4 linked regions of the Rhinolophus ferrumequinum genome follow. The protein of the gene in region 4 purifies or fractionates together with the protein of the main gene of each other region. This does not show direct contact. Links are inferred from orthologs where the notes say so. Each region holds a gene or a part of one and is shown on either strand. Other genes may lie near its edges.

The links.
Region 1: the proteins of CDK19 (region 4) and MED13L purify together in Homo sapiens (affinity purification with mass spectrometry; 5 studies listed by BioGRID and IntAct, counting the BioPlex papers as one, with this or other methods). This does not show direct contact. The link is inferred for Rhinolophus ferrumequinum from reciprocal best matches to the Homo sapiens genes CDK19 and MED13L.
Region 2: the proteins of CDK19 (region 4) and MED12L purify together in Homo sapiens (affinity purification with mass spectrometry; 3 studies listed by BioGRID and IntAct, counting the BioPlex papers as one, with this or other methods). This does not show direct contact. The link is inferred for Rhinolophus ferrumequinum from reciprocal best matches to the Homo sapiens genes CDK19 and MED12L.
Region 3: the proteins of CDK19 (region 4) and MED7 purify together in Homo sapiens (affinity purification with mass spectrometry; 5 studies listed by BioGRID and IntAct, counting the BioPlex papers as one, with this or other methods). This does not show direct contact. The link is inferred for Rhinolophus ferrumequinum from reciprocal best matches to the Homo sapiens genes CDK19 and MED7.

Annotation. Positions count from the first base shown.
Region 1 is NC_046308.1:10,238,452-10,245,812, forward strand, and holds the start of MED13L (mediator of RNA polymerase II transcription subunit 13-like), read right to left. Parts: upstream 3,020-7,361; coding exon 2,948-3,019; intron 1-2,947. UniProt on the Homo sapiens protein: Component of the Mediator complex, a coactivator involved in the regulated transcription of nearly all RNA polymerase II-dependent genes.
Region 2 is NC_046285.1:10,000,523-10,007,921, reverse strand, and holds the start of MED12L (mediator of RNA polymerase II transcription subunit 12-like protein), read right to left. Parts: upstream 3,004-7,399; 5' UTR 2,543-3,003; intron 2,082-2,542; 5' UTR 1,953-2,081; coding exon 1,854-1,952; intron 1-1,853. UniProt on the Homo sapiens protein: May be a component of the Mediator complex, a coactivator involved in the regulated transcription of nearly all RNA polymerase II-dependent genes.
Region 3 is NC_046307.1:27,384,892-27,391,945, forward strand, and holds the start of MED7 (mediator of RNA polymerase II transcription subunit 7), read right to left. Parts: upstream 3,014-7,054; 5' UTR 2,879-3,013; intron 2,230-2,878; 5' UTR 2,168-2,229; intron 1-2,167. UniProt on the Homo sapiens protein: Component of the Mediator complex, a coactivator involved in the regulated transcription of nearly all RNA polymerase II-dependent genes.
Region 4 is NC_046286.1:63,019,967-63,027,763, forward strand, and holds the start of CDK19 (cyclin-dependent kinase 19), read right to left. Parts: upstream 3,003-7,797; 5' UTR 2,830-3,002; coding exon 2,702-2,829; intron 1-2,701.

The sequences.
Region 1 (7,361 bases), on a different chromosome or scaffold from region 4:
GAATAAGAAACATACAATGACCCATATCATGTATACACAATGGCATTTTCATGTTAGGAAAGGGGGGCAGGATTTGACAGAGAATTTAGGAAATTTAATGCCACAGAAACTGATGCAGTAGAAAATCAGAAAGCAAAATAAGTAAAGGACTAACAAAAATCTTAAGGCACCTGATTGATTGCACAATCAACTTTTGCTAAACCATAATGAACACCTCAAGGTAATACAAAGTTGGTGGGTCATTACTGTGGTACAGACTTTAATGTCCTGTTTATATTTCAATCCATGTAAATGTGAGTATCTGGGTAAATTCTCTATAAACAATACTTTTCTCTGCTCAAAAAACTGCAGACCAAAAAGAAAAATATACGCTATTATTAAGTATATAGAGTTCTTACAATACATGCTTTATTTTGAACAGGTGATGATTTTATCACGTTTGGAATTAATTATTCCATACAATGTACTTTAGGCAACATATTTTTAATAGTCTAGGTTGTTGCTGTGTGTGATTTTCAAGAAAAATTCTCAATTTGGAATGAGAAACGTTTACAATAATCAGCAGCTTTTTAACTGAGTCACAATTTTTTAAGAAAATTAGCACCTTATCCACCCGCCACATACAAGTGAATGTAGACATTTCAGTCCTTTAAAAAATTTCAACTCATGCATTTCTGCAGTTCTGAATTTCCAAATTGCAAACTAAAGAGTAATTCTGTTTAAAAAAAAAAAAAGTATATTCAAAAATCAATTCCTGGTTTAAAGAGGTTTAGGACAGAAATATCCAAAGCACAAACCTTTATTAGGCCATAAAGCACAGCATCCTCTCATATAAAATTGTTTATTTCTCCAAAAGAACCTCAATCATCTTATCTCTTTAACATTATTATCCTTACTTAAGCTTAAAAAAAAAAAAAAGAAATATATCCTACAGACTGGCTATACACATTATACACTTTCATTTGTCTACAAAATCTACTGTATATAAATCAGCCACATACATAGAAGACATTACCAGTCAGCATGATATATGGTAATTTGGAGGATCCCTTCTCACTAACATTGGTCTACTTGGTTATTTTAATTACCTGTTAAAGTGTCAATGTGGTCACCAGCCGCCAAACAAAAACCATTTTAAATACCCCTTAATCAATATATTTGCTAATCTATGAAAGTCCCTGAACCTGACTGACACTAAATGATAGACTGAGAGGGAGGAAAGAAGAGGAAAAATGAGTTTTATTCCCATATATCAAAAGATCAAGTGAAAATCATCAGCACTGAGAGGAAGAATCACAACTTATAATTGAATTTTAAGATTAAATATCTGAATAAAAATGCTGGGGGAAAAAAAAAGTTGACCTGATCTTACTATAGTGAAAGCAAGGATACTATGCCAGTCTTGTAGATAAAAATCACGTTTTGATTTTTTTATCTGCATAATGAAACACATTTAATAAAATAACACATTTGAAAAGTTGGCAAGAATTTGTATTTACCCACTAGTCTCAAAGAAAAAAGCATCTATGGTACTCATAATTAAGTGTAAGTAATTACAATTTCAACACTAAATTATTTATCCAGTGTAAACAAGGATTAAGAGAAAATAATGTTTCTATCTACAGCAGAGGTTACAGAGAACAATTTCCAAAAATGCATCCTGTCCAAAAGGCAGTCCCCCCAAAAAGGGTACGCAACTTAAAATAAGTTGGGGTTTTTTTTTTAAGGCTAAATTAAACAAACCGTTTAGCCAATTTTCCAATTATATTCTACGCTTCAAACATAATTGCCTTACATCTGTTTACAAATCTTTGCTCAATATTTAAACAAATTCGTAGTCTCCCGGGCACATAGCTATACATACAGTAACTCATGCACAAAGCACATATTTAAAGACCACGCACTGCCATTATTAGCCTAAACGCCAGGTTTAACAACGTGAATGTTTTCAGAGCTAGGTAATACGACCCAATAAAAAGCAAAGATGGCATTTACCACCAAATGTCACTGCCACCGCCAAGGAAGAGTTGCTGGAGCCCTATACATTTTTAATTTCGATGAATCTAGACGCCTTCGTCGGGTGCCAGGCTTCCCGGAGAACAATTGACACCCTAACTGCTTCAAGATTAAGGCAGGCGATTCAAATCCGAAGGAAAAGTTGTCAATTATCAGAGAGCGCGCGAGAGAGGCGAAAGCAGATAAAAGCGATGTTATCAAACCGCCCAGCTTGTTGCTTTTTTGTGTGTGTGTGGATTCGTTGTCAGGATAGAGAAAACAGTTTTTAAAAGACACAGGAGGAGAGAAAAAAGAAAAAGCTTTCTCCACCTTCCGTCGGCTCGGTGCAATGGCTTTAGGGCTCTCCAGCGTAGTAAGCCCCGAGAGGCAGGCGGCTGTCGATGTTTACAATCGCGGGAGCTTCGTGTGCAAGAGTCCTTTACTGACACAATCGCATTCAATCAACTGTTTTGGGGCGAAATTGCAGGTGTCATTATGGAATTTTTTTAAAAAATTCAAAAGGCGGGCGGGCGAGCAGCCGATCCGACAAGGGGGGGGAGAAGGCTGCTTCGCAGGCGCGGGCAGCACAAGGCAAAGCCTTTCACATTTAGGGGGAAAAAGGGGGGAAAGGGGTGGGGAAGGGGGGTGTGATTGCAACAGAGGGTGGGCGTTCGAAGTGCGACCCAGAATCAGCAGCTTTGAGACTTCCACATGCAAATTCCACGCCGAGCGCCGCGCTCACAAATGATTTTTAAAGAGCCAAATAAACACTGGATGGGATCCAAGGCGAGGGAGAGACGATCCAAAAGGGGGAGAATCGGCAAGAGGCGAACAGCGGGGAGAAGCGAGGGAGGGGCGAAGTCCCGGCGGCGGGAGGAGAAAGTTGGTCGGCGGCGGAGGTCGTGGACCCCCCCCCCAATACGGCCCCCCTCCCCGCAGCCCGGCTACTCACCAGCGAGAAGAGGTTGGAGTGACAATCCTCCAGGCTCGCCCCGTTCGCCACCCAGTTCGCTGCCGCAGTCATGATCCTCCGCGAGCCCGGCCGCCAGAGCGGGGCATGTCGGAGCGAGGCGTCCGAGGCGAGGCCGGGCCGGGCGGCGGCGCCTCGCTGGGGAGCGCGGGGCGGCCGGGCCGCCGCCGCCGCCGGGGGAGGGCGCGAGGGCCGGCGGGCTGGCGGCAGGCGCCGCGGCGACGCCGCGCCGGGGGCGGCGGGCCCGGGCCGGCGGGGGGGTCCGCGGCGGCCGCGCGGCTCCTTCCTGCTCGGGCGGCGGCGGCGGCGGCTCCCGCGGCTCCGGCGGCGGCGGGGGGCGCTGTCCGCGCGGCCCGGCGCCCTCCCCGCTTCTCAGGGCCGCTGCTGCCTCCCGGGCTGGCGCTGCGGGCCGGCCGCCGCCTCCGCCTTCCCTGTTCCTCAGCCGCCGCCGCCGCCGCCTTGTTTATCTCCAGCCACCGACTCCCCCTCGGCCCCCGCCGGCGCGTGAGGGGAGGCGAGCCCCGGAGCCGCCGCCGCCGCCTCGGAGCCGCCGCCGCCGCGGAGCGCGAACTCGCGAAGGGGGGGGTGCGGACGAAGCCAGCGGGCGACCCCGGCAGCCGAGCGACGTCCCCTCCTTCCTCTTCCTCCCCCACCCCCCCCTCCTCCCCAGTCAGCCTCGCTTCTCCTCCCTCCCCGGGCTCGCTCGCTCTGACAGCAATGGCGGCCGCCGACCGCGGCTCGGCCCGCCATTGGCTAGCGCCGAGTCACGTGACGGGCGCCGGCCGCGCGGGGGGGCCGGGGGCTGGCGGGGGAGGGGCCGGAGCGGCGGCGGCACGCCGGCGGCTCGCGGGCGGCGCTGCTGAGCTAATCGTGGCCGGGTTCTCCGGCCGGGAGACCGAGGAAGACGGAGAAGGAGAGAAAGAAGTGCGGGTGGCGCGGCTCCCGGGCGGGCGGCGGCTGGCGGGGCCGAGGCTGCGGTGGGCTGCTTCGCGTGGGCGCCGCGCCCCGCCCCCTCGGGGGCACAGATCTTTGCGGGGCGCGACCGCGAGCCCTGGGAACGCTGGTGGCGGCCGCAACGGAAAGCTCCAGTTCCCTCGCCTGTGCCCCCGATCGACGCAGGCCGGCTGGCGTGGCGGGGGCTCGCTGTGAGCCAGGCAGGAGGTTCAAATGCTACGGGGAGTGTCTCGTGGAGGTCGCACTCCGTTGTCCGCGTTTTGCAGATGAGAAAACTGAAGCACAAAGAGATTAAGTCAAAGAGATTAAGTCACTTGCCGAGGTCGCATAGCGGGGAAGAGGAGGCGGAATTCGAACCCCTGCACCCATGCACAGTGAAGCTGAGCTCTTACACTAGGTTTTATAAGCCTCGCCCAGGGATATACATGGCTACCACTTAGCGCTTACTGTGTAGGAGGCAATATGCACGGAATACAGACATGCCTTTGAGCCCTTACTGCTAGGCATTGTGTGCATTCATTCATTCATTGCATAAATCTTTCCTGAGCTCTTGTTCTGTTCCAGAATATAACTGCCAGGCACTGTACTAGGGCTGTATTGGGAGCAGACCCTCCCTCTTGGCTCCGTTCATTCAATAATGTACATTTCCTGATCGCATATGGCCTGGGAGTCCAGAGGAGTGCGGGAATGAGAAGGGTCTCCCGGTTACTCACTGCAAAGGTGGGGAGGAGAGAACAACTTCACTAACAAGCCCCAAAACATGGAAAAGCCAGCTGTTTTAGGTGCATTGGACTAAAAGAGAGTAGGAACATGGAGTGTAATAAAAGAAGTCTTACACACATGAATTGAGCTTTGGAACTACCACAAATAACTACTACAGGAAAACGCATGAGCAGCATGTTATAATGTATTATCATGGCTGACACTATGTTATAACGAATATACATACATTATTGCACATGACCCTCAGAACAACCACATAAAGAAGATACTGTTATTATCCTTAGCCTAAAATAAGTCTCAGACATGCAGTGACATCTCCAAGCTGTCCAGTTACTGAGTAACTCAAACCTGGGTCTATCTAGCTCCAGAGCCCAGACCTGAATCCAGAAGGCTCCAGGAGCAGGTGCCTGTAGTTGGCTTGGGCACCCCTGGTTGTGTTACCTTGACCTACATACAGTAGTCCCCCTTATCTGCGGTTTCAGTTAGTTACCCACGGTCAACAATGATCCAAAAATATTAAATGGAAAATTCCAGAAATAAATAATTCCTACGTTAAATTGCATACAGACCCAAGTAGTGTGATGAAATCTCTCACCTTTCTGCCCCGTCCTGCCTGGGATATGAATCACCTATTTGTCTACCATGTCTATGTTGTACATGCTACCTGCCGACTTGGTTATCAGATCGGTTATCAGAGAGAGATCACAGTCATTTTAATTGTAATATATTGTTATAGTTGTTCTATTTTATTATTAGGTGTTGTTAATCTCTTACTATGCCTAATTTATAAATTAAAATATCATAGGTAAGAAAAATAGAGTATATATACAGTTTGGTATTAACCGAGGTTTCAGGCATCCATTCAGTGGGGTTCCTGGAATGTATCCCTCGTGGATAAGGGGGGACTGCGTTTAATTCTCTAAGCCTCCTTTCCTAACCTGTCAAAAAGAGATCCTAATTGCTGACTCACTGACCTCAGGTCAATGTTGTGCATTTCTATTAAGAGATTGGTGGTGACAGTGTTTAGAAAAAAAAGCCAAAGCACTTTATCAATATGCACAGTGTTACTTAGGACTGAGCAAGGAGACGGTATGATGGTCCGTCATATCTAGGTGTATTTACATCCCAGGAGGCCTTCATCCTACACACTTGGTCACCAAATTCTCTTTGTTCAGCAAGTTTAGATTCAACTTTTTAAGGTCTCCCAGAGCAACCTAGAAGAAAAATGAGCAAAGGACATCAACAACTTAGAGAATAGGAAAGACATATGGCTTTTAAACATGTTAAAAGATGCTCAGCCTCGCTCAGTGCTATGGACTGAATGTTTGTGTCCCCCTAAAATTCATATTGAAACCCTAATATCCAGAGTGATGGTATTTGGAGATGGGTCCTTTGGCAGATAACCAGGTCATGAGGGTGGAGCCCTCATGATGAGATTAGTGCCCTTATAAGAACAGACAAGAGAGAGATTGCTTTCCTTACCCGTGAAGACATGACCAAGAAGAGGGCTCTTTCCAGGAATAAAATTGGCCAGCACCTTGATCTTGGACTTCCCAACCTATAGAACTGTGAGAAATAAATTTCTGTTGTTTAAGCCACCCAATCTATGGTGATTTGTTACAGCAGCCCACGAACATTAAGACACTCATCATAAGAAAAACAGAAACTAAAACCGTAATACGTGCTGACAATATTTTAAAAGCTTAGGCAAATGTGGAAGGAGCAGAACTCTTATGCACTGCCAGTAGAAATACAAATTAGCACCACAGCTTTGGGTGTCAATTTGGAGAATTTCAAAATGTATAATGCACATATCCTGTGACCCAACAATTCTACTTCTAGGAGTTTATCCTCCAGAGATACTTGAGTAGATATATAAAGACCTGTGTGCAAGGACATGAACTGTAGTACTGTTTGTAGAGCAAAAACTGGCAGCAACCTACATGTTCATCATTTAGGGAGTGGTTAACAATATAATTTAATGCCACGTAACCATTAAAAATAATGAGTTAGCACTATGTGTACTAATATAGGATAATCTCAAAAATAGATTATTAATTGAGATATCCCTGGGAGATTGTAGTAACATCAGTTGCCTTTAGGGACGGGAGTCAGCATGAGGAGAGGAATTTCTTTTCACTTGCTGTTTTTCCTTTCTGTCTCTTCTCTGTCTCTCTCTCCCCCCCTCCTCTATCCATCCTTCCCTCTTCTTTCTTTCCTTCTTTCCTTCCTTCCTTCCCCTTTCTTTTTACCAAACTGTGTATATTATCTATTCAATGCAATAAGTTATGAACACCACCAATCAATCAATCAATAAAAATGAAAACTGAATAATCAAATGGCACCATAAAAGTACATTTATCAGCAAGTAAACAAGACAAACAAAAAACAAAAACAAAAACCCTCCTCTGAGGCGATCTCTTTGACTGTCAAAGCCGAGGCCCCTGAGTGGAAAAGGCCAGAGCACAGCATGTGATTGTCCTTGCCAGGTGAGTACAGAATGAGAACGCAGGGAGCAGAGGTTCTAGCCTCAGACACGCCACTGAGCAGCCCTGTCGTCTTAGACAAGCCACTCAACCTCTCTGGGCCTCAGTTTCCTCATGTGTGAAAAGGGCAGCCGGGCAATCCTTCAGTCATTTCTAGCAACAAAACTCTTTGACTCTCTGAACAGTTGAGATGACTGATAAAGATCCGCGGAGTTCTTACTCAACAGAGAAAG
Region 2 (7,399 bases), on a different chromosome or scaffold from region 4:
TGGTCCAACTCCCGGGCTTATTCACCACGCACCTTGATTAAGTAGCTTTCTAGGGCCTCAGTTTCACTTTATCAACAGGAAGTTATTTTAAAAACTAGACTCTAAGGTTACTTCCAGTGCTAGAATTCCATAAAATGTTGTAAGATCCTAAAATCCCAAATTATTTTTTTCCAGAATCATAGAGGCCCCAACCTGAACGAGTGTCGACCTGAGGAGTAAATGCTACATGCGCGCACAGGGCATCCGCGGCGTACCATCCCTTAAGTGGGAAGATGCCGGCAATTATACTGCCCTCTGGAAGATGCAGTGAGACATTAATTACCAGGTGATAAAGGGCAGCCAATCAATGTCCCTGTCCCAACCAAAACTTGAAGAATTTCCTGCCACTGATTTTTAAGTTATTAACTTTCTTTACACTTGGTCCTTAGCATCTGTTACTTCCCGTCCTTAACAATTAACTTTATTCTGGGTCAGAGTAGCAGGGAGAAAAATGGGTGGGGAAAAAAAATCTGCAAAGTCTCGTCAAAACTCTTATGTTCATGTTCAGCCTCAGCTGAGAACCACCTGTAAAAACCTTCCCAGCTTCAGTATGAACTACTCAAAGGATGCTCAAAGATGTTTAATGTGCTAACCCTCTAAAAGGAGCTGTCAGTCCTTTTGCAGAAACGTTAACAAAACAGTTTAACCAGAACGTTCTTTCTCTATTACTGAAATAGATACATTTATCAAAAGGGAAGTCTTAAGGACCTCTCCTTGCCTTCTTTACAAAGCCCTTTCTGTGATGTCAGTGGGCCGGTAAACTTTTAATAGAGGGTTTTTAGATTCCCAGGAAGAGAAGTTCTGAAACGTTCTCCCTCGTGTTTAGCTGAAGAAAACAGAGAGAGGATGGGTGGGCTGCAACTGGCAAACTCAGAAAAGCACAGCAGGGTAGCAGGTGAGCTTTAAAAAAAAAAAAAAAAAAAGCAAATCCCTTGGCAAATTGTGTCGCCAAGGGTGATCACTATAACTGGAGATTTGTTATATAATTACTTGTTAACTACGGACAAACACATACATGTCTACAAAATGCCATGGTTACTCTAGCCATTGAAGCTAGTGAACCTAGTCCAAGAGTCAAGGTTTCTCCAACAGTTGCACTCAAAGAAAGAAGCAATCTCGGTACCTATTCCCTTCCAAGGTAACAGGATTGCTTTTACGTATACAAAACTGCCTCCGGCAAATTAAGCCAATCGCCTCCAGGAACGAAATCACTTTTTTCCCGTAATATCGATTTTTAAAGGGGAGAGGGGATACAGAAAGTACGTCCAAAGAGCTAAATATTTATCACTTCGATAAAAACGACTTCGCTCCAAACTGCAAATTTTGAACAGAAAAGGTCCCCACCCCCTCACGCCCCCCCCACCCCCCGCACTAACACCCAGTCCCTGCTTAGCTGGAGCAAAAACACGAGACCCGTGTCGGATGCACTGCATTCCAACATTTTTCAAAAAGTTTACGAGGATTTAGCAAAGCGGCAGGGAGAAAAATAAAGCAGGCAGAAGCGGGGGAGAGCGAGCAGGAGGGTTTCGGCAAAGAAGAACCAGATGAGCGCCCGGCAATGCTGTGCAAGGCCCGGTAACGGAGAAGCGACCCTGCACCCGAAGAGCAAGCGTCTCAGTGGAGCGCGGGGACTGACAGCCGCTGGGTCTCCGCCGCCCAGGGTCCCCCAGTCCCCAACCCGGCCCCTGCCGCCAGTCCCCTCCCTGACCCTTCCCCCGCAGCGCCGCCGTTGCCCGCTGGGCCAACTTGGCCCGGGGTCAGCTCTGCGGAGCGCGGTCCCGGTTGCCGGGGAGGCCGGCAGCGCCCTTACCTACCTCCTTCTGCTTAGGGTCCTGCGGGTAGACGTCCGGCGGCCCAAGCCGGGGACGTTTCAGTGGTCTCTGCTCATAGCTGAGAAGCCCGAAGGCGGCCATGATCTCTCATGTTAACCGGCGAAATGAATGAGAGTTGGAGCTGGAGCAGCCGCCTCTGAGCACCAGGGAGCAGCACTTTGCAGACAGACTCCGTCTCTCCCCCTCCTCGCTCGCTCGCTCGCTGTGGCGCTGCAGGCAAGAATAAAGCAGGTTGGATGCTGCCGCTGCCAGACACGCAGACACGCACTGATGGGGGCAGCCTTCGGCGGGCACCCTGCTGCGCTGGGGCTCCGGGACGCACCGCTCCTGTGGCGGCGGCCGACAGAAGCTGAAGGTCCGCTCGGGTCCTCCGCAGCGCCGGCCTCCCGCCCCCCCTACTCTGTCCCCAGGGGGAGGAGCAGCTGATGGAAACGTGTGACTTTTTTCACCAATGGACCCAAACCCACCCAGCCCGGCACAGGGCGGGGGTGGGGGAGGGGCACCGGGGGAGAAAAAAACTTTTCTTGGCGCCCAGGCGGGTGGCCCAAGTGCTCGCCCCAGGCTAGGGTGGCCCTCCGGCCCCAGGAAGAGACTGCGGAGCGGCCCGCCTCCGCCCCTCTTCCTCGTCAGGGATCCTTCCACGCCGCCACGCGCCCCGCAGACCCAGCCACCTGGGCGCGGACTCGACTCCGGCGGAGAGGCCTGGAGGGGATGGGGGAGGCAGAGATGCGGACGGTGGGGAAGCCGCGGGTGCCTCCTAGACGCCCGCTGGGCTCCGGTGGCGCATCGGCGGCTCCGGGCAGGCGCCGAGGCGCGCAGCTGGCGGTCTCGGCGGCTGGAGGGGGCCGTGCTCACGGTGGCGCGGGGCCGACTTAACCCTTTGCTGCCCCTCCAGGGGCTGGGGAAAGAGGGTGAGGAGGGTAGGCTGTGAGCGCCGACCCCGGCAGCCCGCCCGCCGGCATCTCAGGCTCCTCCCCCCCAGCCGCAGCTCCTCCTCCCACCCCACCCCCCAACAGTTTACCTGTTGGTCCCCGGCTAGTGGGCAGGGGCCCGCGGCAGCGGCACTCTGGCGGCCGCAGCCTCCATGATTCGGGTTGGGGTGGGGGGGATCGGATTTGATTTTATTAATAAGGCATCAGTCTCCTCCGGGAGAGCTCTGCGGACGCCGCGAAGTTTGCCACTGTCTGGGGGCGGCGGGCGACGCCGGCTCGCCGCCGCCGCCGCCGGCGTTCTCGCCCCCACCGCCCGGGAGCGCGAGCCTCCGAGTTGGCGGACGCGGCGCGGCGACCGCACTGAGCATGCCCAGCTCGGCGGCCGGACCGCGGAGGAGTTGGCTGCGAGCGCGCTCCGATCCGCCTCTCCAGGTTTTCGCAGCCGCAGAGCGCGCAGCCCGGGGGCCCCGGCGCCGGGACCTGCCCTGGGGCGAATCCTGGCGAGGGAGGGGGCACCCCCAGGGCCCCTCTCCCGGTCGCGGGCAGCGTCGTCCGCCTCGACCTCTCCTAAGGTCGCTGTTCTTGTAGCCTGGGCCGGAAATCTCACCTGCGCCGGGCGTGTGGACGGACGGAGGGAGGGAGGCAGGGAGGTGATCCTCCAGGGAAAACCTTAGTCCTCCAACCCGCCCGCGCTCCATTCTCGCTCCGGGGTGTGGGCACCGAGATGCTGGGCCACCTGCCGCGAGCACTAGGAGACCAGAGCTGCGGGGGCGGGCCCGGCTTGTCCCGAGGGACCCCGCGGGAGGCGCGCCCGGGAGGATGCGCCCGCACTTGGCCAAGAATGATGGCTGCCATTTATGGAGCCCTCGCTTGGTGCCAGGGTCTTGACAGTAAAGGTCTGTGATCCTTAAAAGAAACCTTACAAGGTTTTACTGTACCCTTTTTGTAGACAGACATTAAGTCCGCTCAAGGAGGCCCAGTGACTTGCTCAAAGCCCGGAAGCTGCCCCTGCCGGATCCGAAGTTTCTGCCCTATTCTCCACGACTTTGGATTGGAAGGACTGGGTTCCTGAACTGCCCTTGCCTAATTGTGTCACGTCTCCCACACCTTGAGGAATTTCTCAGACTCTTGGTTCCATCCTCTCTCTATAAGATGGTGCGAGCAGAATCTAACCCAAAGCCTTGGTACAGCACCTGGCACACAGTAGGTGCTCAGGAGATGTGGACCAAATCTGAATATCTACTTACCTCTGCTGACTGTAAGCAAAAGGGAGGTAAAAAAGGATAGATAAGGCGATGGCAATAGAGGCTAGTTTCTCACTCCGGACCCTCACCTATTAGCACTTCCCAATGCAGGCTGAGACCAAGTCAGGCCGGTGGTTTTTGGCTTCTTGACTCAATCTGAGCAAGTACTTTTGGAGAACAGTTACCCTCCATCAGGAGATATTTCCTGTCCACCTTCTGCACCCTGCCCCAAGGACCACCAATATCCTGGATGTAACTTCCAAGCTGAATTTGCCCTTGTGATATAGGCATCTATCAAATCTAACTACTTTGCTTGAAAAATAAAGTCATTATCTAGCTTTATTAGGAAAATTATCAAACCTACCAAAAAAGCAGAAGAAATGCTATAATGAACTCCCAAGTACTCATCTCCCAGTTGTGTCAGTTATCAGTTTTGCCATTCTGGTTTCATCTCCCCCACCCCCAACACATTGACAAGCCGGTGAGAGGACAGTGTTATTCAACCTGAGCACACAGCATGGAATCTGGCACACGTAGGTACTCAAAAACATGTTTGTTGGCTGGTGGGAAGATAGGTGGGTAGGTATGTGGATGGATAGATCACTAGTGCTACTTTGGGATACGTTTTTGCTGATACCCTAGTCTGATGGGAGATGTAACCTAAATTCTTCATGTGTATACCTAGGCAAGAGCCTCCACGAAAGAAAAACTTCTGAAGCACTGAAAATCTTATCTAACCATAAAGATTTTATTTTAAAACCAAAATGTGTTAGTGCTGTGTCTCTAGGATTTGTGAAAAAGGGAAAATGTTAGCTCTCCCCGTATTGGTCTCCCTTTCTAACTCCCTCCCTTGTTTTGACACAGTCTGGCATGGATTATTTGGCCCTCTCAACATTAATTGGGGAACAGTGTGTACTTCCAGAAGTTTTTCCAAATCAAGTTGTTGTCCTTTCGATCTTAGTTGTGGAGGGCACAGCTCAGCTCCAGGTCCAGTTGCTGCTGTTAGTTGCAGGGGGCGGGAGTCGAACCGGCAACCTTGAGGTTGAGAGCCCACATTCTAACCAACTGAGCCATCTTGCACTGGCCCATGTAGGGATCGAACCGGCAGCCTTCGGCGTTAGGAGCATGGAGCTCCAACCACCTGAGCCACCGGGCCGGCCCTGGCCCTCTCAACATGAAAATTTTTTTGAAAAGTGAAAGCTTTAATATGTTCAAAAATAATTTAATTTCTCAAAAATCATTCTTTCATGACATGGACTTCCCGTGGGTGTTTGGCTCCCTCGTCCCGGCATTTGCCCTCTGCACAATTCACCTCCATCTACCAATCCAACTTTTTCTCAATCTCCAGCTTCAATTAGCTCTCATTCCTACTTCCAAATATGGAATTCCCAGGTCCTTCATTTTCTGATAGCCATCTGGGAATAGTCCTTAGAGTCCTGGACTATTATGAAGCCCACCCCAAACTCTTGAGGTACAAGATGATTCTTCATTTCTTTCAGTGCCCTTAGCATTTAATTTTCCGTCTCATCTCTTAACATCTCATCATTTATTGGCATGCATTCAAATGTCCCGCACAGAATAGTCTTTCCCTATCCCCACCTTACCCTCGCTCTTTCTTCCAGTCCAGAGTCCCTTTTGAAGCTGACTAAAGCCAGTTAACATGGTGGGCTTACCATGGAAACCACTGTGTTCTGTGCTATGCTTTTTTCCCCATCACAGTACTGATTAACTCGGCTGATAGACACGCATTCTTTTTGAATAACATGAGTCTCATTTGTTACTGTTCCTATAAGGGGCATTTTATCTTTTCCTGGCTAATGACACCACCGCCACCACCCGGGCCTGGGAACAGTTTGCGTGGAACAGGATTACTCAGAGAAAACCACAGGTTCCCCAGACACATCTTGGGGAAAGCAGTTGAAATGTGGCTGGAGGAGAAATTATAAACCATTTTAAGCGTGTGGGACTTTATCCTCCAAGTATGAAGCTAACTCTCTAGGAGTGCTTTTGTGAGTTGACAAGTGTTTAAAAGCAAACCCATTTCCTTGGGTCATATCCACGGGCGCCTCAAAGACCTCTCAGCATCAGAAACCTCCCAAGCAGATCATGCTCCCTCTATAAGCCCTGGTTTTCAGAATTCTGCAAGGAGTTCCCTCATAGTCGGGACCCTTTTGTGCTCTAGGGCAAAGTCCCTTTAAGATGGCTCATGGCTGCTGGCTTTTTTCTCCCTGTGTTTGGTCTGCAGGAAACACACAGACGTCCTTTGCACAAACTCTAGTGCAGGGATTTTCTCACCAGCCTACTCTCCTTGCCCACCATGGATGCACTCTCAAGCCACAGTTTTTCACCTTGAATGTTCTCCAGTCTGGGTCAGTGCACAAACGGCAGGTGCCCAGGCCAGTGGTCTTCTCAAAGCTCTTTTCACAAGGCTTGAGGTAAGGAATACAATTTCTTTGACAAAAGGCAGTGACACAATCATACTTGCAGAGCAGATTTCAAAAAATGAGAGTGGAATGACTAGGAGCAGAGGCAGGGTGTTGACCCATCAGAAGAAGAGTGATCTTATTATCCTATTTTACACATTAGCAGGTACAGTAACTGGCACAAAACAATTGAGTTAGCAAGTAGAAAAGCCAGGATTAAACCTAGATCTCTCTGGCTCTCCAACCGACACTTATTACTGTCAGTGTGCTATATGAATTAATTATCATTTATATAACACATATAAAAGTGAGCCTCAGGAGATAGGTCTGGTATAAGAGAAGCAAAACTCCCAACAGCTCGCTCTGGCATGGACTACACTTCTACTCAACTGGAAATAAACAATTCACAGTGTAGTGCCTGTAGGTGAAGTAATTAAAGTTGCTGGGTTTCCCCGTGGGACTGATGCTTGTCCAGGTGTATATATTACTGTGTTTGGTTAACAGATTGCCTACAGACAGTCTTGCTTACTCTCAGTTTTTCTTATATCCCCATTACATTTAAATGTATTTATCTCGTGCTTACTTCTGAATCAAAAAAAGAAAAATTTCCTCCTTCTTTTAGCCTCTTAAAGGAAAGGAAAAATAAAAATGACTTGAAAGGCAGGTCAGGATAGAGAAAGGAGGAAAGAAGGATAAATTTTGGAACTTTCAACCAAATGGAGTCTTTAATACAGTCTTTAGGCCACTTACAGAGACATAAAGGATACACACATTAAGACTCCCTAAAGCAGCACTCACCAGAGAATTGTCAAATGTGTACTTTTACATCTTCTAGTAGCCACATTAAAAAAGTAAAGAGAAATAGGTGAAATGAATTTGAATAACACATTTGTTTAACCTAATACAGCCAAAATATTGTCATTTCAACA
Region 3 (7,054 bases), on a different chromosome or scaffold from region 4:
GTACTCATTCCTTCATAAATTTATTGTTTGGTATGACAATGACTATACATAGATTATGATGACAGATAATATTTGAGTACATACTATGTACAGACACTGCTCTAAATACTTTTCTCATGGTTGTGAGAAATCTGAGAAAAGAAAGGCGCTCTTTCCATTTTAGAGATGAGAAAACTGTGGCTCAAAAAGGTTGAACCACTTGTGGTAAGTCATAGTGTAAATACTAGAGGAAGGATCCAGAGCCTAAAGATCTCAAACACTACACTAACTACCTTTCAAGGATAAACAAAAAACACTGCCTCCATCCCAGTGTTGCTTACAAGTTATCAAGAAAATAAATACGTTTTAAGGCCAATAGATCTACCTACCAAAAATAAATCTAACAGACAAAAGAATGGTGGTTATCAAAGGGAAAGAGGGTTGGGGGGAGGATAAAGAGGATAAAGGGTCAAATATATGGTGACGGAAGGAGATTAGACTTTGGGTGGTGGGCACACAATAGAATATACAGATGTTGTATTATGAAAATGTACATCTGAAACTTATATAATGTTATTAATTACCAACGACACCCCAATAAATTTAATAAAAATAAATCAATCTAAAAATTCCATATAGGAAAATATCTCATAAGCAAAAATAAAAGGTAATCCCATCTTTCTGGGAGAAGAATGCTTGCAAACTAACAAAGACCAAATATTAGAAATTTTATTTTGATTTTTTTAAAAACATGTTTTCTGACTCCATCCCCACTAGAAGGAAAGTACTATGACTTCAGGAATTGCCTATCTCATTCACAATTCACCTCCAGCACCTCAAACAATGCCTAGAAGGTGCTAGATACTTATAAAGGTCCACTGAATGAGTTTTAAGTCTACATTAAAAAAAGAAAATAGGCAAAAAGGACAAGAAAAATGCAAATGTTAAATAAAGGTGGGAAACTTAAGACTAATGTACTTTTAAAAGCAAATTTTTAAAAGGATAGCTTTCATCTAACAGACTATCAAGATTTCAAATATTCCATCATTCAGCAAATATAAGAACACCTTCTATGTGGCAGGTCCTGGATTCTAACAGAGGTCACAAACTCTCCTACCTCTCAGTTTCTTCAGAGTGGCTACCCCAATTTTATTAGCAGGCTTTTAGCTATCCTGGCCTGTCAGAGAAGCCTTCTGGGATGGAGAGCATCCACTCACCTTAGCTCTCATGGAAGCCACCATAAGGACTACCACGTAACACTTGTAGGTGGTAGGCCAGTACCACCCGAGAGAATATAGGAAATTCTCATTCACAATTGATAGAAAAGGAAACAAATACATATTTGGAATTTAATTTGGCAGTACCAAAAATTTTAATGATGATATTCTTTGAACCAACAATTCTATTTCTAGGTATTTATCTTATAAAAGTATTGGCACAAGCACACACACAAAAAAATTTGTATAAATATGTTTAACGTAGCACTGCTTGAAAAGAGTAGGAAAAGTTGGAATTAATCCATGGTTTTATCTATATGAAGGCTGGATAAAAGATGTCTACATAATACAATACAGCCATTAAGGAAAAAGGAGTGCAAGTGAGTGCATGGGGTGGGGCTTTATTTACAAACACTGTGTACTGTTTCATTTATTTACAAACTTATGACAGTTGCAAACAGTTACAATCAACTTTTTAAAACTTTCTAACAGAAATTCAGACTTACAGAAACACTGTATGAATAGCACAAAGAACATCTGTGTTCTTCACCCAGATTCTCCAAATGTTAACATTTTCCTTATTCGCCCTATTACCCTCAAATATCCCCCAACCATAATGTTCTCTTTTAAGGAATTTAATTACCAAATCAGAGAATTAGCATTGACCTGGCACTTCAACGGAAATGTTAGACAGCCCAGGTTTCACCCCACGCAAGCCTTTTTAGGTTGTGAGTCCTGTTTTGTGCTTCCCAGCACCACGTGCCTTCCTCTAGTATTTAAGTTGCCATTTTCCAAAGACCGACTACATGACAGGTACCATTGTTTTATGTTCTCTTACTTAATCTTCAGAACAATTCTGAGTGAAGCACTATTATTATTTTCACTAGAGATAAGGATCCCAAGTCTCCATGAGGGGAAATGTTTGCACCAGATCACAAGGTTAGTAAATGGTACACAGCGGGAATTCTTACCTCTGGTCCTTTTAGCTGCGCAGCACAAGTTCTTTGAAATCAGTAAACTGTGAAGCTTCTAACTGTACAAAAGGAACTTGATATGTTACAGAAATTCTGTTTATTTCTCCATTACTTCTCTCGACTGAACTACTCAAAAGCGATAGAGGTCTTTGGTAAAAATAATACCAGGTATCCTAGCCGGTGATCAGACTCAAGAGCCACCCTCCAGTTTGCTCCTTTCTGGGGGGCTTAACAAAAAAAGAAAGGCATTCCAGGGCCCCCCCCGCCCCGTCATGTCATCTGCTTCACTTTGTCTACAGTGAATGGGGCTGCTAACAAAGTAATTTTTAAAACCTCTCAGAGGATCCTTTTGACGATTAGCCTTGGGGTGTTCCCTGAAGAGGAAAGAGAGGAATGGCATCCTCCTCTTACAAAGGCCGGAGAGACCGAATAACTCGCCAAGGCCACACCGCTTAGCAAACCGGCGGCGCGGGACTAGAACCCACGTCTCCCAAGCTCCGGTCCAGCGCGGCCTCCCACACGGAGGAAGCGCCGAGCCCGGGCTGTCCACGAGCGGCGGGGAGGCCGCGCTCTCAGAGGGGACGCGGGAGAGGAAGGCGAGCGAGCTCACTGCGCGCCAGCCCCCCATTCCCAATCCGCCCAAAGTCTCGGGGTCCGGAAAGAGAAACACGCGCGGAACGGAGCCCCAAACCGTCGCCGCCCACTCACCTCAGCTCTGGGTTTGTTTACTCCGGTAGCGTCCTTCGCCACCGCCGCCGAAATTCTACTTCCGGCGTCGTCTTCCAGGAAAAACTCACTGACGCTCTTTCTTTATTGACTGAAAGAGCTGTCCTTTAACCGAGGCTCTAGCCCCGCCTCAGACCGCTGGCTCGCTACTACGCATGCGCCTACCCTGGCGCCTCATTCCCGCTGAGTTCCATTGGGTGGCGTGATCGCCGGCGGGGTTTAAAGTAGGCTAGGTCCTCTCTGTACTGGCTTCTATCAGTAAACGTCGCAGCTGGTAGCTCCGTTTCTCTTTTCTTTTTTCTTTTCTTTTTTTTTTAAATTAAACGAGGCATCTATATGTCTTACATAAAAGTTAGAAAATACAGATGAGCAGATATTTTTAAAAACTATGTCGATTCTAATTAACCCCACTGTCAAAAATATTTTAAAAGATGAGATTGGATTCTATGTGATATATATGTGTGTGTGTATATATATATATTTTTATATATGTTCCATATATTATATATATATATATATATGAATCTGGAAGTATTTGTGACCGTGATTGGGAATCAATAATACATTTTCAATTTCCTTTTCTTCACCGTTCACTTTTATTTTTGTTTAGGGATTAAGAGATGTCTATATTATTTCCGGGCAACAAATTAGCACGTTTAAAAAAAAAAAAACAGACTTAAAGTTTTCTTTTGGAGGTTATTTTCATTAGAAGTGTCACAAATTTCTAAATTCATGGGAATCTTACAAGAGCATGTTGCACGTAAAAAGTAAGTTTGTTATTCTGGTAGAAGTTCTCAATTTTACCTCTTTAAAATAAGAGTCTTTGATTTTATTTCTTAAAAACTTCTATGGAGAGTTCCAAATGTCAGCAAAAGGTCACTGCCACCAATTTAATGCCAACAGGAGTCCTCAGTCTAGGGTGCAGTAAGAGGAGAAACTGCTCAGGTAAACAGTTTGCAAAAGTGGGAAACACATAGGAAACCTAAATTGCACCCCACCCGGAAACAAACACAGAGGAGAAGCCACTTTATATTATAAAGTTCCTGCTCTAGTCCCTGATTGGTCCATTTCTATGCAAATGAGGGATCAAAATTTATAGAGTTTGATTGGTCTAAATAGCACTGTCCTGATTGGTCGGAATTACACGTTCCTATTGGTTGTTATGGACTTGCTCTGATTGGTCAGTAAAGTTGCAAATGAAACTATAGCTGTGCAATTCCCATTGGACAGGGCAGGTTTCAGCCCATTGGTGGAAAGACTATACCAGGAACTCCTTTATAAGGCTTGACTCACAGGCAGGAACACAGTACAAGACACTGTGTTTTTCCCCTGAGATGTAGAGTACCTGAGGGGCTTCTGTAGGCAATGGCTGCTAGACTCTGGTTATGAATTTGTACCCAGTTAACCATGATGAGTCCTTGGAAGATATTTTCTTTCTCAGGGTTCACACAAAAAAGTAGAGAGAACGGTGTACTCATCACCCAACTTCAACACTTATCTACTTATAGATATTATTTTATTTCCACAAGCATCACTGAAAGATAAGGACTCTCATTTTTTTCATATAACACAGAACTCACTTTAAAATAAATAGTTGCTGAATAGCATCAAAATCAAGTCAACATTTGGACACCAATTGCCTCAGGATCCAATAAAACCCTCCCCTTTTGTGACTGGCTAATATGTCTTTTAATTATGTTTTAATCTATAGTTTCCTGCCCTCACCTCAATTTTCCTCCCATATCAATTTATTTGTTGAAGAAATCCATTCACTTTTGAGCATACCCTAATCAGGCATCTCTCCCCACCAAAGATCAATGTGACCCACACCTGTGACCTCCAATGGTCATTCTTAGTTCTCATTTTACTCCACTCTCAGCAACATTGGGCATATTTGATCATTTGAATTGACCCAGGACTCAATTTTTACTTTTTAGTGGGATATCATCCAGGTGATAACATCCAGGTGATATGCAGGCTCTGGCAACACCCTCTCCTTTGCAGTCAGATCCCCTTATCCAACAGTATTCCACATATTTACTCAATTTCACTTCACTCAATTGCAAAAGCTCAAATCTAAAGATTCATCTTTTACTCTTTCTCCCATACTCTTTCAAAACTACCATAACAGCCTTTTGTATTAGTTCTATTTAGAAACAAGTAAAAGTCCCCAATACAGTATAACTCATTTTCACCATCTCCACTGCTATATTCCTAGTCCATGCCACCATTATGTCCCTTAGACTTCTGCAATAGCTTCCTAAATGGCTTCCTTGCTTCCACTTTTGTCCTCCCTTAGCCTACTTACCACACTGTCTTAAAATATAAGATAGATCTGACCAGTCCTCTGTTCAAAATTCTTCATGGTTTTCTATCATATTTACAATAAAATCTAATGTTCTCAATATAGCCTATGTAAGGCCCTACAGAATCTAGTCCCTGCCGACTTCTCCAATCATATCTCCTACCATTTTTTCTCTTGCTCACTTTTCTCCAGCTATAAGTTTTATTCTGTTCCCTCAAAATTGCCAAGCATATTCCTGCCTCAGGGCCATTGCATTTTTCTGGAACCCTCCTTCTACAGAGATTCACATGCCTTCCTTCCTTCTTTACTTCATTCAGGTCTCTGGACAAATGTGACCTTCTCAGAGAGGTCTTCCCTTGTCATCCGATATAAAATAACACATTCCCAAGCATTCTCTTGAGAGATGCCCCAATTCCCTTACTATACTGTCGTGTAGGGCGGCCTGCGGGGTCTCAGCTCCCGCTCCCCACACAAGAACGCAGGATATGGTGAGGCCAAAAAGGAACACTCACGGAGCCATAAATAGGGGAGTCATACCACTATATTCTCGCTGGCAGCATCCGCCTCTCTGCAATCCACTCTTGCTAGCTCAGCCACCATCTTCTTGCTAGGCCCCAATTTTTCTGCTAGCAAAGCCATGGCAATTATATTAGTGGCCAATGGCTCACTGGTTACAGCTGACGGCCAACTAGCCACAGCTGACGGCCATCTACTACCTGAGCCAGCACCCCAACACGTGAGGCCGAGAGCCTGGAAACTGCTCTCTGGGGCTCTGTCCCCGCATATACATTATCCTTCCTTTATAGAACTCTCATCATCTGATATCATATTATGTAATTTGTTTGTTTGTTTATAGTCTTTCTTCCCTATCAAAATACTGTGTTCATGAGCATAGGGACTTTGCTTCATTCACTGCTACACGCTCAGCGCCTAGAACAGTGCCTGAAATTGGCAAGTGGTCAATGAACATTTATTGAATAAGTAACAAAATGCATATAATCATTTTTAAATAAGTTCACAGTGACATTGATGGACAAATCACAGTCTATTTAGTCAAATCCCCATTTTGTGAAGTTAATCTCCATCCCAATTTTTACGATTATTAATACACTGGGTGAGCATCTTGGTGCATACATGTTTGTGCACATGTCCATTTTTTTTTCCCTCAAGATAAATTTCTAGAAATGGAATTATTGGACCCAGAGGTACAGTGTCTTACAGGTAGTTAGTGGCAGGATCAATGCTAGAGTCTAGGACTCTTGACTCTCAGTCCAGTGTTCTTTATAATAAACTACAAATGAATGATGGTATGAAATTCGTAATGAGAAGGGCTGGTGAAAATATGACATGTAATAACCTTTATTTATGTGGTTATATGTCCAGAATCTCGATGGAAAGTTTATTCCTTAAAGGTGTCTTGTATAGCTTAACAAGGCATACATTCATTCAACAAACAAATTTTTATTGTGTGTCTACTGTGCCAGAAACTGTTCTAGAAGATAAAAAAGACAGACAAAAGCCTTGCATTCTAATGCAGAAACACAGATAACATGCAGACAAATAAGAATTTCATAGTTATAAGGGTTACGGGGGTGGGGGGGGTACAAAACAAAGTGATAGTTACATCGGATGAGCATAGCTACTTTATAGCACGTGATCAGGGTAGCCTCTCCCATAAGGTGACTTTGGAGCTAAGGAAAGAGTGACAAGGGAGACAGCAAAGAGACTCAAGCAAAAAGCCAGAGGCTGCCATGATCTTCCGGAGTTAGAGAGACAGGAAGGGAGACTGTGTGCTCTGTAACTAATGAGCAAAGGGAGAGTGAGAGATGAGGGGGCAGAAACAGGCAGGGGTA
Region 4 (7,797 bases):
CCTGATTTTTTTAAAAACTGAAAGGATAGTTGGGTCAAAAGATCCTCTTCCTTCAAAACAAAAAGACGGAATAAATAACATCAAACGTGAAAAACCCATATGTAAATCTTGCATTTTCCAGTCTGTTCTAAATTTATGTAGCATAATATAGCCTAAGTTACATACTTCAAAGAAAATAACATTCTAAGGTTTTGTAAACTGTAATATTAAACTATAAGCAGAGGCTTTTCTAATGATGTGATAGGTTACATTACTTCTTTCAGTGTTTCTTCTAAAGACCTGAACAATTTTTATAGATATACTACACTATAAACACTAGAATAATTTCCCTTTAAGGTACCCATGTGATTTTTCTTGCTTCTTAAAATAGTGTTATACATTTTTCTGAGTTAACCAAAATAAATTCTGGAAAGAGCTAAACTGTAATTTCCCATGATCAGAGTGTAAAATCCTTTACTATGCAAATCCATATGACAGTTTAGAATCACCACTAAACACTTTTTGTTCTTTTCAAAGCACTGGTATCAATGAACATCAAACTAATCCTGCTACCAACCCACAAGAGATGTGTTTACTATAAAGCCTCAAACCTCAACTAGACCTTTGGCCCAAGAAAAAAACCTTTACGATGATTTTTCTTACATGTAATATAGTGATTTAAACTAATGCTTTCAGATCCTAAAAGTTTTTTTAAAGTATAATATTTTGAAGATACACAAACTGATCTTTACTAAAGGAGCTTTATTAATTCTAGTCAAACAAATTTCACTCAAGAAGGAAGTGTATTCGAATCAAGAACTTTATTAGAAGGGAAAATATTTTAAACAAATAGAAGTAGGGCTTAAATTATCATTTCTTGTTGTAGCCCATGCTATTCAAATACATTTCAGAAGCAGAATTTTCAACTTTTCTCAAAAGTTGCCTGCTAAAAGGAAGCTATTTTAATTTTTAAAAATCAAAATATATTTTAAAAATTCCAGATCAAGTGTATTACCAAGTTAGCATGAGGAGTATGAAAAAACAGCACATCTGATTTGTTTTGTAATGCTAACGTCCAGTTAGGAACACTAGATGTGCTTTCCCCAAATTTATCTGATTAAGACTCCCACAGGAACACCAGTGTAACAAGTACAGTGCATATTCCAAAAAACAAAATACAAGTTATAAGACCTCACATTCCAAGATGTTCATTCGAGGACACCTGGCAATTAGCTAAAAGAATTATGAGACAAGATTACAAACAACTGAATACTATGGGGCCCCTTCAGTTAGAACGAAAGAAAAAATTATTTGCAATAATTAACAATCCTTTACACTTGCATAGTGCCTTGTAATTTTCACGTTTTATGATAAAACAATTGACAAAGTTGTGCTTTTACATTACCTGTATGAAATTAGCACACACCCCTACTTACTTTAGTCCTAGTTCATAAATCAACCATATCAATTACAACAGGGTGCGCAGAACGATAAGCATCACTTCAAACTCACTAGTATCACTGTAGCTGATACTGTTTATTCAGAAATGTTCCGCTAAGATCCTAAAAACTCCCTCCCATATAGTCTGACCGTCTTTAAAGTCTAAGCGGGACAGGCAGATGTGCCCTCACTCTGGGGGAGGGGGAATTCCTGCCAGGATATGCAATGAGGTGAAGACTGGTTTAAACCTACCCTTCGCAGGCAGGGAGCTGGTTCCACCTGTCCTGCGGTGCGAGCCCGTCTGCCCTCCGGGACGACGGAGAGGTGTTCTTATTACACGACCCAGCTCACCTTCTCCTAGGAGAACTATCAGTAAGGGCTTCCTAAGGGGTTTCTATGGTTTTCCCTCAACTCCCAGGAAAACAAAGGTTCGGGCCCAGCTCTGCTAGCACTCCGCGTTCCGTTTTGGATCATCTGCGGTAGGTGCTCGATAAACCCCAACACGCAATCATATAGCAGAGGATGGCGCGGAGGGCATAAGGTTGGGGGAAATTAGTTACCAACGAGACGAACTTTGAAGTTCTACGGGCAAAACGCGGTTAGTCCCTCAGGAGGTGCTACATTCGAAGGGAGGTGAGGAATTCACAATGTGAGAAAGCGAAATCATGGGCGGGCGAAGAGGGGTCGCAAAGTAGGCGAGTACACGACAGGAACCGGAGGGACTGTGCTGAAGGGCCAACGGGCTGGTTGTCCCCAAAGGCTCGGAGGTGCCCAGTGGGTCAGACCCGTGAGACTGGTTGAGACCCCGCGCTCCGCCGCCCGACGGACTCCTCCGCGAGGTTTCAAACCGCCGCCCCCGGGAGGCGCTCAGCCCATTGGAAGTTCCACAACGACCGTCACCAGCCCACGGCCGGAGCGGCAACTCCTCGGCGGAGCTCTCCCCCTCCGCGTCTCCCCAGGAACCAGACCCCACAAACTCCACCTCCAAGCCGGGTCCCAACTCGAGTCCGGCCGCCTGCTCCAGGCACTCGGAGAGCGCCCTCCGCGAGGGGACCGACGCCCCCCGACTAAGGTGCGCCGCGGGAGTTCGAGGGGCGCGACGGGGCCACGCAGGGGACGGGCAGAACCCGCGTCCCTCAGAGTCCGACCCGGGACGCGGCCCCGCAGCCACCTTCGCCTCGCCCCTCGGGCACGGCCCGGCCGGGCTCCGACCCACCCATCCCGCGCGGTGGCGGGCAGGGCGAGGACCGTAGCGAGCCGACTCCCCCGCCCCTGCTCTTACCCATCTTTCCGCCTCGCCTTGTAGACGTGCCCGTAGGTGCCGCGTCCCACTTTGCACCCTTCGTACTCAAACAAATCCTCCACCCGCTCCCGTTCCGCCGCCAGCTTCGCCTTGAAATCATAATCCATTGTCTGCTTCCCCCATAGAGGCACCGGGACGCGGGGGCCGCTGCCGCTCAGTCCCTCCTCCTCCTCCCCCCGCGACCGCCGCTCCACTTCTCCAACAGCCGCCTCTCGGGCGCGCGCGCACGCGCGCCGCCCGCCGCCCCGTGGTCCGCGTTCAGCAAGGGACTCCTCGGCGGCCGCAGTAGCCACCTCCTCCACCACCTCCTCCTCCTCCGCGGCGGCGGCGGCGGCGGCTCCCGCAGACACCCCCAGTCCCGCCTCCCCCCTTCATTTCCTTGTTTTGGAACCTGGTGGGCCGCACCGCGGCTTCCTCGAGCTCATTAACGAACCAACCCTCCCGCCCCGAGGTCGCGGAGGCTCCTGGGACCTGTAGTTCCGAAGGCACGAGGAGCAGTTGAGTTACATCTGCGAAAGAAATACAGCTCCCAGGTTGCCTTGGGTCGCTATAGCCTCGCCCCCACAAAGCATGCACGCCTGCGCACTGAGCACCTCCCCCCCTCAGGTAGAGCTGGACTGCCAGTTCCTGTGAAGGTAGAAAGTGCGAAGTTGCAGTGTGGTTTCTGCGAGTTTGAGGGAGCTAGTGGAAAAAAGGCCCTTGTTCTGGTGTGAGGAAAGTACTTCACTATAACTGTCCCCGGGGGAGAAAAGTGGAACGTATTTAACAAGCGCCTTGCTCAAGAGTCTGCTCCAGTGGTTTGCGAGGTGAGGACTGTTGTTAGGAGTTGTACTGCAGATTGTTTTTTTGTGGCAATTGGTCCTCATCTTGCCCCGCCCCTCGTCCAACCGTTCATTGGCGGAGACTAGAGAATGACGTCCTCGTTGGTGCGTGGGTATCCCCAGGCTTTGGCTTCTTTCCCGTTCTTGATTGGTAATTGAGTGTGCTCGGTTCCTTCTGATAGGTTAATCTTTTTATTTGACGATGCAAAAACCGTATTTCAAAAGCTGAACATTCAGCGGTTTCCTAGTTCTAGCATCGGTCTGAGGACGTACAACTTCTGGTCCCTAACAGCCAATCATCCTTTTCTTGGCCCTCTAGTCATGGTCTCCGCCTAGTATATGCGATTCCCCTTAGCCAAGCTTTGCCCGTCTAAGGACAATTAAAGGGCTAGAAGGATGCAGTGTTTTAAAAACAATCATTTGGGTTGGACTGTAAAAGTTTTTTACGGTGTATACAAAATGGTGATGTTCTCCTAGAATGTTTAAAAAAGTCCCCTTAATCATGGTGAACATTGATTCATTATTGCAGACATAAAGTGTCAGATGCTTGGGATACAATCTTAAACATGATTGGTGCTACGATAGGATTTATATACTACGTTCAGTGGGAACACAAGGAGGAAATGGTCAATTCTACCTGAAGTTTTAAGGAAAGTGAGTAGTGACTTGTCTGCAAGGTTTGAGAAAACCTGGGAAACTAGAGGGAAGAGGTGGGAGGATCGTTTATTTACTAAAACAGTAAGTTTCCTGGGAAACCTCCTCAGATCTTGAAGTTAATTACGAAGTATATGCGATTCTCTTATTTCCAGGAACTATGGTAAGTGCAGGAAATACAAGATGAAAATTGGTCTTTTTCCATCAGGGAAATAAAACCTATTGGGGAAATAAACATGTGAACAAAAATAAACTATAGATTCAATGAGAAATGGAAGAATAGGAGGACTACGAGAGGACTGAGGTTAGGCTTCACAAAGGAGGTAGGTTTGAGCCAAAATTTAAAGAACCTTGTTTGGAGGACAAGTGGAGAAGTGGGGAGCAGGGAATTATTTCAGGCAGAACCAGCACATACATATACCATGAGAGAACATGATATATTCTGAGAAACGCAACTAACTTGAATATTACAGATTAAGGCAGGGGGAAACGATGGCTAAGAAGAGACTGGACAGGTATCCAGAGCGCAAATTTTGAAGAGCTACGTATATCAAGCAGAAGTTTTAGATTTCATCATACTGTAGGCAGTAGGAAGTCATTAAGGACTTTTGAGCTAAGGAGTAATGCAATCAGTTTTGTGTATTTTAAAAAAAAAATCCTTCAGACAATAGTGTTTGGGATAGAATGGAGGCAGGTAAGTACAGTAAAAAAAAAAAAAACTTGCATTAATTAATACTTGTAAAATACAAAGATCTGAACCGTAGAGTGGCAGTGCTGATTATGAAAAAAGGGCAGATACCAGAATTATTTATGAATCAAATTCAACAGGACCTGGTGATTAATTAAATGTAGGGTTAAAGGAGAGAAAATAATCTAAAATGACTTCGAGGTTTTTTACTTTAACGTAAGATAGAAAAATAAAGGAATAGAAGCAGTTTTTAAGAGAGAGATGATGAGTTTGGCTTGAACGTGTTGAATTTGAAGTACCTGTGGGGCATCAAGATAGAAGTAACAAGGAAATGAACATTTTTACGTGTTAATAAGAAGTTTTATAGATTTGGAAATCATCAGTGTATAATGGTGGGGTGTGGAGAATATTTTTTGGTTGGTTGCTATTTTTAAATAGGAGTTTTTACATTCATTATATCCTCAAAATATCCCTAGGAGATCTGATGTATTATTATTCCTGTTTTACATATGAACAAACTGAGACAGCTAGTAAATTGCAAAGCCAGGTCTTAATGAATATGTACTTGGGATTAAATGGAAATTAACAAATGTGTTAGTAAAAAAACAAATATAGGCTATGAAAATCTTAACTAAAGAAATCAAAAAATGTGACCACATCCTGTATTATCAAGGAAATGGGGAAACAGACACTCTCCTACATTGCCTGTGGAAGTATTCGCAAAATATATACCAAATTATACAAGGTCTGACAATTAAGTTTGCAAACTTGTTGCAATGATGTTGCTAACCTTTTTTGACATAACAGGGATTATTCATTATGAATTTGTACCAACTGGACAGTTAACCAAGTCTACTATTTGGAAATGCTGAAAAGGCTGCGTGAAAAAGTTAGACAAAAACAACCTGAACTTTTCGCCAACAATTCATGACTCTTGCATCACACCAATGACCAGCTTATACGGCAGTGTCTGTGAGGGAGTTTTTAGCCAGTAAACAAATAACTGTATCGGAACACCCTCCCTACTCACCTGCTCTGGCCCCCAATGATTTCTTTCTTTACCTGAAGATAAAGGAAATATTGAAAGGAAGACATTTTGGTGACATTCAGGACACCAAGGGTAATACGACGACAGCTCTGATGGCCATTCCAGAAAAAGAGTTCCAAAATTGCTTTGAAGGGTGGACTAGGTACTGGGGTCAGTGCATAGCTTCCCAAGGGGAGTACTTCGAAGGTGACCGTAGTGATTCAGCGATGAGGTATGTAGCACTTTTTTTAGAATGAATTCGCGAACTTAATTGTCAGACCTCATACATTAGATTTTGATCTTGGCAACGTCCATCAAAATTACATAGTAGTATCCTATGGTTATACTCCTGTGGTAGATGTTGTGATGTGCCTTCCAGATCCCCCTTCAGGATTAAGGGATGTATCCCCCCCCATCCCCACCCTCCAACTGCCTCCCAAGCTGCTGGGAGTGCTGCTACACATAGCCGTCAGTTATCAGTCCTTTTCAGGAATTGCCTTGGCTGAAGAGCCACCACCTCACCTAGATCGTGCCATTTTCCTAGAGCAGCCGCTATCCAATGGCTGATCAATGCAGAGATATAAAGGCCCAGACTGCTCACTGTACTTCAGGACAAATCTGATGGATCATCCCATCTTCAGAACTCCCTGCGGGGTTGACTGAGGTCATCTCTGAGAATACATTGCAGACCAACTTCTCAATCTCCCCGATCCTGCTTCCTTCCTTTCCCTTCCAAAGGTATTGTGCAGTTTATTAACACTCTCTAATACACTGATTACATGTCAATCTCCATCTCAGGATCTGCTTCCCCAGGAGCCCAATCTGTGGTATTCCCCACATGTGCAAGATGATATAATTCAAGGTTACTCACTGAGGATTGTTTATGATAGGAAAGGACTGGAAACAACAGAAATGTTCATTGAAGGGGGACTGGATAAATAAATTATGGGACATCCATCAATGGATCATTATGCATCCCTAAAAATAAAGTGAAGGCTATAAAATATGCCTTTCAGCTCTCCTCCCTGCAGGGAGGCCCCAGCCGCTAAGCTCTGAATCTCCCACACTCCCCATGGCTACTCCCAGCCTATGACTGAGCATAGCAGGATCCTAAGGCAGGTCCATTCCTGCCAGATGTGAGTGGGAGTACTCTGATGGGAATGACTTTGCTTTAAGGACTCCTCAGGCTTAAACCCATCTGAGTCTTTCTTAGAATCATGTTGCAGGCTGAGTCACTGCCTATCCAACTTTCTTTCTTCCTTCTCTCCTTCACAGGGGTCAGTCAGATCAGTACCATAATCTGACAGCTCCACCAGCTACCTCCTTTTTTTCCCTTCTTTTTCTCCCTCACAGGCATCTCCTCCAGTAAGTCTCTTTCCTGTCTAATTCCATCTTAGCATCTGCTTTTCAGAAGACCCAAACAATGAGGAAATTGTACTGAAAAGACCTCCAAGATATATTTTCAAGTGAGAAAAAGCAAGAATGAGAAGAATGTCTATAATATGCTAACATTTTTATACAAAAGAAAAAAATACATATTTGCGTGTATATGCATATACTTACCTCTAAAAAGAGCACAAGAAACTGCTCAAGAAAGGGAACCATTGCTTGCAAATTAGGGGTAGGAGAGAGAATTTGTACTGTATACCTTTTTGATCCATGAAATGTAAATAAAATTTAAATGCAAAAAAAAATAAAAGCTTAGATAAGAAAGGGAGGAGACAGATAGATAGGATTGTGGTTACCGTTATCAAGACAGGTTCAGAGTTTCACTTCATTGTTTTGTTTTGTTTTGTTTTTTAATAGGAGGAGGGAACTTTTCATATATTGAGGGAGAATAGCTGGTGGAGAAAGAAAAAGTGAAACCATAGGAAATATTGGGGCT